Schizosaccharomyces pombe: one gene and its partner. Changing the gene in region 1 together with any one later gene gives a genetic interaction. Each region holds a gene or a part of one and is shown on either strand. Other genes may lie near its edges.

Region 1 (6,619 bases):
CGCTTATTAGCTATCCAAATACAGACACAGCTTTACGGGCGCCTTGGTGAGAATTGGATTTCTACATTGCCTCAATCAGTACCATTTATTGCTGAACTAATGGAAGATGATGATGATCAGGTTGAAACTGCTACGGCTGAGCTCGTGCGGATAATAGATGACCGTCTCGGTGAGAATGAATCCCTCCAAGATTACCTTACATAAGGATTGTAGAGGTTGTGGGTCCGTTTTTCACAGGCTGAGTTTTAAACGGAATCTTTCGTTTTCTAAATTTTTCATTCTAAAAAAAATAATTATTGATTCGTTATGAATATATACGCTTTCGTCTAATCCCTGCCAAAAAAAAAGGAAAAGACGATCATGTTGATTGCAATCCATAATGGGTCTTCTCATCAATGACCTTTAGGGTTGTATTCATCAATTCTCAATTATCTTGGGATTATAAATAGTTTGGTTGGTTTCGGTTTCATAATACTATAAATTAAGAGAGAAATTTTTGCAGTTTACAAATGTTTGACAGCAGCAAAATAATTTTGAAGTTTAAACCAGTGTATTAAAACCCAGTAAATTTCATTGAAGTATCGAAATATTGTATATCTGAGCGACTTCGTAAAGTGCAATCATCCTACATAGCAGTAATCTAGTGGAACGGCATACGTCTTTAAATTTGCTTAAGTCAGTTTTTGTCTAGGAAATGGTGATTTGGCCAGTTTCTTGTCGGTCTTTTATATACAAGAGATAAAATTCTAATTCCATTTATCTATCGAATTGGTAAAAAAAAGCCTCGCTAAGGACTTGTTTAAGAGTTTGCCACTTCGATGTCATAAAAACGGTCAACACTTCTCAATTTAAAATTTGTTTGTACTACTAGTGCATCCTTTTAAACAGCAACGACAGTACTAATGAAGTTTGGATGTGTACAATTTTTTCCCAAGTTGGGAAAGGTGAACGAAAACATCGTTCATCTTCGCCAGCTTTTGGATCAACATTCTGAAGCATTACAGTCTGTTAAGCTATTGGTTTTCCCTGAAATGTGCTTAACTGGTGGGTGGTCTTTATTATTAAGAAGAGTTAGCTAACTTTCCTGTAGGCTACAATTTTAAAAATTCAGAAAGTATACAACCCTTTTTAGAAAACGTAACTAGCAATCATTGTCCAAGCATTCAATTTGCTCAAGAAGTCTCTGAGCAATATCGGTGCTACACCATCATTGGATTTCCTGAGTTTCAAAACTCAAACGGCATTTCTACTCTTTACAATAGTACAGCTCTCATTTCTCCCAAAAAAGAGTTGTTGAACGTTTACCACAAGCACTTTCTTTTTGAAACAGACAAATCATGGGCCACTGAAGGCAAGGGTTTCTCTTTTGAACCCTGTATTCCTGAACTGGGCCCTATTTCAATGGCAATTTGTATGGACATTAACCCGTATGATTTTAAAGCTCCTTTTGAGAAGTTTGAATATGCAAACTTCATTTTGCGTGAGCTAGAGCATCAACAAATGGTTTCTTCGAATGTATCACGACCAATTATTTGTTTAAGTATGGCATGGCTTGTGTCAGATGATAAAGTCATTGATGCTTCCCTGCCCGACATCAAAAATTTACATTACTGGACCACTAGACTTTCACCGTTAATAAATTCGAATACGGATGCAATCGTTCTTGTAGCAAATCGGTGGGGAAAGGAGAATGATTTAAATTTTTCCGGTACCTCTTGTATTATGGAACTTTCTCAAGGAAGAGCTATCTTACATGGTGTCTTGAAAGCTGCTGAGAATGGAATTGTAGTTGGAGAACTTGAAAAATAAAGATGTGCGACGTTTTTTATTTCTATTCATGAAAACATATTATATAATACATATTGGTTTTAATAAGCCTGTTAAATTTCTATTATCGTGATGACATTCCAAATAAAAATGACAACTCCTTTGTATTCAGACGTGAAATTTCTCTAAGCCCTTTTTCCCCTAAAGCGCTATCTATTAGTTCTCTCTTTCTGTCTTGTAAGGCTAAAACTCGCTCTTCAATCGTGTTATTAGTAACAATTCGTAAAATATTTACCGGTTTATCTTGTCCAATTCTATGTGCTCGATCGACAGCCTGTTCTTCGATATAAGGATTCCAAAATGGATCGAGTATGATGACATGATTTGCACAAGTCAAGTTTAACCCGACATTTCCTGCTTTTAAAGAGATCAGTAAAACTCTCACGTTCGGATCAACTTCAAAATTAATAAGAGCTTGATTTCTTTCCGCTGTGCTTAGACCACCAGTATACATAAGATATTTTATACCCTCTTGTCGAAAGGGTACCGTAAAAAGCTCAAGAAAAGAAACAAACTGTGAAAATATTAAAATTTTGTCAGTTGGCTGTTTCTTGATGATTTCTTTAACTGCATTTAATGCTTTTTCAATTTTTGTAGAAGTGGTCCAATGTTTAGGATCCGTAAAGATCTTCATACCCATTTGTCTATTCTCTAAGATATTACTATACTGTTTAGGTAGCAATTCGGAAATGTTTTCTGTTCTTAATTTGTTATCGGCATCGACAATAGGTGCCATTCCAGAATATCGTCTAAATAATGCGTAACTCAAAAGCCTTTCAGTATCGATGTACTCCTCGCAAACTGAGCACTTAGGAGAAATATTTTCGTTGCTTGTTTGCTTAGCCATATCCTCACTGGATGTAATAACATGGGTTAAGCACTCTCTACATAGAAAATGACCGCAAGGCACAATTATCAAAAGTTCTGCAACAACATCCATACATAAGGAGCATTGCAACGTTTCAATTAACTTAAGGCGATTGACAGCCTCGGGATATATTTGGTTGTAGATTGCACGATTCTTAGCTTGAAAGCTATCGTTATCATCAACCGCTGCTTCTCGAGCAACAATTAGCCAGGGATGACAACAAGCCTGTCGAAGTCTCAAAAGTAATACTAGTAGACTACCGTAATGCGTAGTTATAGTCCCTTCTTGAAGATATTTACGCATTTGAATTTGTGCTCCGCTTTGAAGCGTATTGTAAAATTCCATCTCAGAAGAAGAGAGGTCTGTTTCAGATTTGACGGCGGTTTTTGGAGGAAGTGTCAATATTGGCTTGCCATCAATCTTTGTATTTTTCGTTCTACGAAGTAGCACTGCTTTTAATAAGCCACGAAAGCGCTTCATAGGAGCGGACGTGTTTATATTGCTACTTAAAGGAATGGTAAAGTCCTTTGAAAAACTTGACCAGTCTGAATAAGGTTTAATCCTCAGAAATTTTATCAAGCTGTAGAACTCCTCAACCCCATTCTGCATAGGGGTACCACTCAAACACCAACGATAAGTTGATTCTAATAGACAGCATCCACGAGCAGCTAACGTATTCCTGTTTTTGATAGTTTGAGCTTCATCCAATATAACTCGATACCACTCTGCTTCAAAAAATGGAAGGTGTTCAAATTTTTTTATTGGAGCGTTATCTTCGATACTCTTGTCATAAGCCATTTTGTTTTTAAACTCGTAAGCGATGACATTATAAGTAGTCAAAACAATGTCATACGACATCAATTGTTCAGCAATTTTGTGCTTTTTCGAACTTCCGTGATGAATATAAACAGTGGGTCTATGTGAGGGAGCAATTTTAGTAAGTATTTCATTATGCCATTGCTGTAATAGCGACACAGGGGTGATAATCAGAGTTGTTTTAACTGATTTAGATTCTGGAGGCCTTGTTACTAGCAATGCAAGAGCCTGGACAGTTTTTCCTAGACCCATATCATCTGCCAAAATCCCTCCTTTCTTAGAGCTTTCTTCTAATCTTTTTAACCACATTAGTCCTTCCTTTTGGTGTTCCATTAATGTAGGTATTAGTCCAGCAGGTGTACCTTCGCGAATTGTTGGATCGTTGACAAGCTGCTCATCAAGATCTTTGAACAACTCCTCCAACTGTTGTTGCTGATCATCTTGAACTTTCTGGTTATTTGAGTCTGACAAATTGAATCCTTCAATATTGTGAAATCTATCGTGATACCATTGAAGGTGGAATAAGTGTTTACCAGGTTCGGGTAGCTTGGAATCATGCAACAAACCACCCGGAAGAATGACTGAATCCGAGCCATAACGCTTATTCTGAAAATTAATTTCGTTATCTTCTTCGTCTGATAAAGAGATCGGATTATTAGAAGTTCCTTTTCCTTGAAGAAACTTATCATCTTCTAAAGTGTGAGTTGTGTTAAACATCTTATAATTATTATGATGATGAAAAGGAGGAAGAGCTAAAGAATTGGTATAAGAAGGTCCAGCCGTAGATAAAACTGGTAACGAAGGTAACTCTAGTTTTTTCCTTTTCGAATTCATAAACGCAAGCTCTAAATTCCTTTTTTCCTTCATATTAACTTTATCATGGTCGTTCAGTGAAGATTTCGTCCGAACATTATTATCATCGGATTCAGAGTCAGATACGACAATCACAGCATTGTCGTTCCAAAACAAAGAGTCCTGTTTTTGTTCAAAAAGTGCATCAGATTGACTCGGACTAAGCTTATCTGTTGAAGAACTAATTTCGTTTTGCAAAGAGTGGCCATCAACATCAATAGTAATTGCATTGATGTTTGGACGATCAAGCCCAATTTTAGGAGCAATTAAAGTGGCATCCGTGTAAGTAGAATCATTATTTTCAACGGAAAGAGAACTGTTCAGCTTCTCTTCATTAGGCTTTAATGCAATCACACTATTGTCATTAGGAAAAAGGCCATTCACTTTTTCTATGTTAGATTCCATCGTATTTAAAGAGGACGATGAATCATGCATAAAGGCATTGAATAGCGCCTGTTTTCGATTAAGAAAAGCAATTCTCCTTTCCATTTCATGTCTGTTTATATCATTTTTTAACAATTGGTCAGACGATGCAGAAGAAGAATAGTCCGGGGTATTATTTTTATTGAACCCAATGTTATGTTTGTCATCTAAAGGTATTTGTTCACATGGATTTAACGTAAATTGTTCAAAAGCTGTATTATTTCTCATAAATTAGCAAAAAAATGCTTTGTGTTTAAAATGTAGTGTGTAATTTTAGGTAGGCAAACTGGTGTGGTGATACTCAGTCGCCCCAAAAGTTTAGAATAAGTACCAAATGTAAGTTAACAAGGGTAAATGTGTACATGAATTTGTGATCATTCGAAATGGAAGGAAAGAAATTAAATTTTTTAAATCATAAAAAATTCTTATTATAATAATTTCTGTTTTGGGAGAGTTTTATAAAAATGCTGATCAGTAAACCTGAAAGAAATCAAAGGGGTATTGAAGAGTCATCTGTATACATATTTTATAAAAACAGAACTGTGAAACTTTTAAATCCTTGAAAAATGTTAGTAGCGAGATGAAAATGGACGGAATAAATAAATAAATTGAGAGCATTTTTAACCCAGTTCTAATTTGTCATTGTAGTATTAAAAGCGATTTTAAAAATTTTTGATGTTTCTTGCTTAGTTTCCCAAGCAGCATTTTGCAAATTTTCTAATTAAACGTTTCAAATAGCTTAAGCATCGTCCGTGCAGTATCAAAGCAGCTGTAAATTGTTTTAATAAACAAATATTTTAATTAATGTTTTTATATGTTCTACTTTCTTCTAAAGTTGTTTCCCCCTAAATTCAACTAATCTATATGAATACTGTTACATACCCATGCATTTTAAGCTATATGGCTTTACTTAATACCTAAATTTCTTTTTTTTTTTTTTTTTTTTTTTTTTAAATTAAAAATATTCATTACCTTTTTCCTAATTACTTTGTCTTTAAAGTGCAATGCGTAGGTATTGATAGCAGAACCAAATTTCAAAACTATTATTATTTGTATTTCTAAATTTATAATGGTATCTTTCATTAAAAATTGATCAAGTAGTGTCGCTTGAATTCTCTTTAGCGGCTTACTATTCAATATTTATATGACTGAGTGTTGGCGCTTAACCTCTAATGTATTTAGCCAGGTGGATACAAAGACAAACAACTGTATGAAAAATGAAAGTTTATAGAATTAATGGAAACGGTGAAAGCAAAATTTAAGCTGTCTCTAAACCTACAAATTCGCATTTTTCTTTTGCCAGCACCATATGACGCATCCGTAGGATCTGCACATTTCAAGCAACGTAAATCATTTACCTCATTTTACTACTATGACTGAAGCGATGGAACCCTGCGCAGGAATCCAAAACTGCATAAGAAAAGAAATTCAAAAGACATAATTAATAACATGGTTGCACAAATAAAATTCAAAAAAATACTTATGTAAATGAAAAACCTTAAAAAAATCAATAATTTATAATTGCATAAATAGATTGCCTAACAATGTGCTGATAGATAAGTCAACTTACCTACGCTACAACATCGAAACCCCGTATTTGAACAATTCCTTTGTTTCCTTTGTCCTTGTGCTTATATTATTTCTCATTTTCTTATATTTTAATTGAGCTACATATAGAAAGTAATATCGAGGGAATTGCGTCAAATTTGAGTTAAAAATTGCATTTTGATTTTGAAGTTAGCATTTCGCTTTTTTTTTTTTTTGAGGTCTTTTATTTTAATATTTTCTTCTCTTTCTTTTTGCTCGTAGGTTTAAAGCGCAATTGCTGTTATT
Region 2 (4,426 bases), 1.5 Mb from region 1:
GTACGGTTATGAGTATGAACAGAAGGATTATCCTGATCAGACGCATAAGAATCTACTATCCAATCGCTAGTAAGGGAGGGTGGAGGTGATTTGATAGACAAATCGCTGATAGAATAATTATTATCATTAGGAGGTATGTTATTTTCAGGATGCTCGGAATGAAGTGGAAACAAAACCTGCCTTGCCAGACACTTATTATCTGATAAGTGATTACTTATACCCAAGGATGGTATTACCACTGATTCAATTTTCCATAATTCTAACGTTATTTGAACCAAAGCCAAAGGTTGGTGAATTTCTTTACTTCGAACTTGGACGATACCAACCAACCTTGGAGCTGAAGTTGGTATCCCATTAAATCCAGCTTGGAAATCCAAATGTGGTAACGGACGTATCTCCAAAGGAGAAAATTGCCGTATTAGCGTACACGGGGATGTCATGCTCTTACATTTAGTGAGTTCCTCTGGCTTGGTGCTGGTTATGGGAAGTTGAATCTACCAAATGGTAGACAGGTTGGTTCAGTGCAGCAATGTCAGATCTAGATAGCTAAATAAAATCTTTTAAGCACTCGCTTAAACACTGCTAAGTGACTTTTTATAGCAATGAAATTAATAATATTTTATTATATAAAAATCTAATTTTAGGCCAAAAAATGTACTTTTGTTTCCATTCCATAGAATTAAAATCAAAAGCCTACAATTGATAGCCAAGCATCTAAAGCTAGTATCTGTTGTAAAAAAGTTCCATTTTGATTACAATAGTAAAAACTAAAATGACTTTAATAGCCTAATTTTGAAATTGGTATTTTCAACTTAAAATTCACTTACGAAAGCCTAAAATATGTTTATTCTTACAGCAGAAGGCTTTTTTTTTGAATTTTTGAATTTTTGAAACCATAACACACGATTGATCGCAACATACATATACGAAATATAGAAGAGAGACTGAATTCAAACGAAAACAATATAGCAAGATATCAGATTATTGAGCAGCAGAAGAAAGGGAAATAAAGCAAGTAAATACTATTTTACTAAAAATCAAACGAATCTCTAAAAGAACAGATATTTCACGCATAGTTAACAGACAATGCATAACAAAAAATTCAAAATCGAGAAAAACAAGAATCAAGAGCAACTGGTAATGCTAATTTTTGATAGTTATATGAGCCGTAGTATGATAAAAAACCCCGGCGATAATTGAGGAAATTCATTGCTGATGTACGACTCTTTTCTATCTAGGAAATAATGATTGTTTGAAGGATAACCTGAATATAGGGCTTTCTGTTCATTCAAAGATCCCTTCAGGAAGTGTTAAATGGTTTGTATAAAACTAACTCACATTTTCCGATTTATCTTTTCATTTTCAGGGCATATATCAGAACTTAAAACAATTTACTAGTAGCGATACGCTACCACTTACTTATTAAACGCTTAAAAGAGTAACACAGTGTACTGTCATGAATGTATATTTTATAAAAGCAATATGATATTTAATTTACATTAATATACTTGTAAGCTTCTCACGGCTAAAAGTAGTGATAGCCCACATTGAAGTAGGATTTTAGTGTAATGAAATCAAACACAGTAGGCCCTAAAGATAAACGGACACTTACATGTTAAGCAACATAATTTAAAATCTTACAAGCAAAGCTAGCGGCTCGAAAGCCAAACATTGTAATATAAACACAAAAAGTAGTTTGTTTACAGTAAATACCGCAATACTCGTATAACGAGGTATTTTCACAACGTAAGCAAGAACGCGCTCATCCTTCCAGGTTGTTGTGTGTCACAGCCTCTCGCGATTCACCCTTTACAATTCACTCGTGAATGATAGGAAAACGCAATGCGTCAAAAAGGACGCGTCAGGATGATTGTATTACATATGAAGAGTATCAAAGGAAACGTAAAAAGACATTTTTGAACACGTTTGTTAATATTTGTTCTCGTACAGTTACTTATGCAAAACTTTTTTTGACAAAAACTCCCATTTCTGAATTGGATCGCATCGCTGGCGAGGCGATACCATCTAATAGTAATAGTACAAATTCAAAACTAGAGCCTTCTACTAAAGCCCCTGAATCTCGGTTTTCTCACATAAATTCCAAGACTGAACGTGGTTACGTGACGGTCGAATCTGATATGTCTTCTCACAATACTCTTGACAGAAATAGTAAACCTACCGTTTCTCATTCATATACAAATTCTAGTAAGGATGAAAAATTTTTGGATCCCATTGCTCTTCAAAATCTATTTTCCCCTGCCTCTGACACGCATTCTCAAAACATCCATGACGAAGCATTATCTCCATCAAGCTTTCGTGTGTCTCGTTCGAGATACTTCCCCCGACCTCATCGGTCTTCCAAAAATTTATCTGTTAGTAATCGGTTACAGCTTGCGGTTTTTAAGGAAACAACTTCATCGACATTATCCCACGGTAATTCCGTTGAGGCTGACGAAATAAACTCTTTTAATCCTACACCTTTCTCTTCTTCTCCTCTGCACTTTACGAACTCCTCTCCAAATCCAAACTCTGACATTGTTACACCGGACAAGCAGCTAGATGTTGTTAGCGAACACGCCAGATATAAACACCTTCCTTTTACGGCTACGTTAAGAAAGAAAAGTCCTCATGATTCAACGTCTCGGAAAGCCTCTTTTAGGTTCGTTCAATCTGATCAGCAACCAGCGCGGAATATCGTTACTTCTGATATCCAAAATGAAAAATCATTACTGTTGCTAATTCGAGATTTGAAAGAAAAGCAAACAGAATCTTTTCAAGATTGGAACGAAGTTGACTTTTTACAATTAAAAGGTTTGGAAATATCTCCACCCCCCACTCGCCCCAAGTTCATTCCGGAACTTGAGTTTCCTGATAATGCTCGAAAGCGTGCACTGAAATATTTAAACCAAAGCAATTCTGTTTCCTCTTCTGAACCCATCATCACCAAATTTAATATTCCAATCACGCTTAAAGACTTGCATACTCTGCGGAATAGACAATGGTTAAATGACGAGGTAATTAATTTTTACATGAATTTGATTTCGGAACGCTCTAAAATTGATTCATCCTTACCTCGGGTACATGGGTTTAATACTTTTTTTTATACATCTTTGCAGCGCCGTGGATACGCGGGTGTTCGAAGATGGGCCAAAAAGGCACGCGTTAATATTGCAGATATGGATGCTGTATTTATACCAGTACATCTGGATGTCCACTGGTGTATGGCTGTTATTAACAAATCGAAGAAACGATTTGAATACTGGGACTCGCTGGCCGGAAGCCCTGGTAAAGTTTTTGATTTGTTGCGCGACTATTATATTGCAGAAACAAAAGGTGCCGTCGACGTGTCAGATTGGGAAAATTTTATGGATGACAATTCTCCAAGACAACGAAATGGACATGATTGTGGAGTTTTTGCTTGTAAAACTGCTGAATGTGTATCTAGAAATGTTCCTGTTCAGTTTAGTCAAAATGATATGCCTGAACTACGAATCAAAATGGCAGCTAGTATTATTGATGCACAAATCTATTAAATATGTGCTATAAACTTTTTGTCTATATACTTATCGTTTTTTATATTAATTTCTTTCTCGTTCAATACATTTTATTTCATATTCAGCGTTTTCAAAAAGGACATAATTTACTTAAATCTATATTAGAGCGTATGCATTTTTTAAGTAGCAGGGAATACTCTAATTAATAAATCTGAATCCAGGAATCTCAGCAAATATAGCTTTTGAAAAAAAAAATACCCGCATATCTTATAAACAAACTTAAGCGCTGAGCTGACGAGCGTCGAGCCCCATTGCATTTAAAAACAAATTAACATTGCTGATGCGCACAACAGCAATTTCAGAAGGTGCCCGTTTGCTAGTAATGATGTTATCAAGTACTCTGTCCCTATTTTTTACATATTTGTTAGTACAAAAACTCGACTAGACATATTTTAACGTACCTAGTTTCAGAAACCAATGTAAAATGTTGTTCAGAGCTAGCAGCAGTAGCACAAGCTGCTAAGAATTCCCATGGATAAGATTCATCAGCATAAGCTCGAGCGTTAGGTGGTGGGAATACCGTCGAGAAATGACCTTTTACGCGATTAAACATAACATTGAATGTATTTTCCCTAAATAGTTAGATGCTGTAAATACATGTATAACGTACCATTCTTCTTTTTCATTTTGATTTACAGTGCCAGATTGCTTTAAAATTTCTGCGCGACTAATGAATAGAGTAAGGAACGACAAACCAATCTTCGTCTGTATTAAATAAACAGCATTAGTGCGATTGAGAAGTTGAGAAAATAAGTTATTTATAGTTTCCAAATCAAGTTCATTAACAATAGTGAGCAATGGAGGGATGATGAACTGCGTGAAAGAACTCATTTCGGAAACAACGTCCAAAGGCAGCTCACCGTTAACGTCAA

Evidence for each region. Genes that interact genetically often act in the same process or in processes that back each other up.
Region 2: of rrp2 (region 1) and ulp1, changing one suppresses a phenotype caused by changing the other (phenotypic suppression), as found in Schizosaccharomyces pombe (one study listed by BioGRID).

The regions. Positions count from the first base shown.
Region 1 is NC_003423.3:3,838,032-3,844,650, reverse strand, and holds rrp2 (DNA translocase/ SUMO-targeted ubiquitin ligase E3), read right to left. Parts: upstream 5,083-6,619; 5' UTR 5,015-5,082; coding exon 1,892-5,014; 3' UTR 1,810-1,891; coding exon of another isoform or gene 1,091-1,809; 3' UTR 1,045-1,090; coding exon of another isoform or gene 903-1,044; 3' UTR 546-902; downstream 1-545. Other genes in the region: U3 snoRNP-associated protein Utp10, read left to right, coding at 1-204; protein N-terminal amidase nta1, read left to right, coding at 903-1,044, 1,091-1,809.
Region 2 is NC_003423.3:2,365,291-2,369,716, forward strand, and holds ulp1 (SUMO deconjugating enzyme Ulp1), read left to right. Parts: upstream 1-1,804; 5' UTR 1,805-1,826; coding exon 1,827-3,533; 3' UTR 3,534-3,773; coding exon of another isoform or gene 3,774-3,900; 3' UTR 3,901-3,903; downstream 3,904-4,426. Other genes in the region: arrestin-related substrate adaptor for RhoGEF, Art1, read right to left, coding at 1-440; pdc2 (topoisomerase II-associated deadenylation-dependent mRNA-decapping factor), read right to left, coding at 3,774-3,900, 3,956-4,126, 4,165-4,426.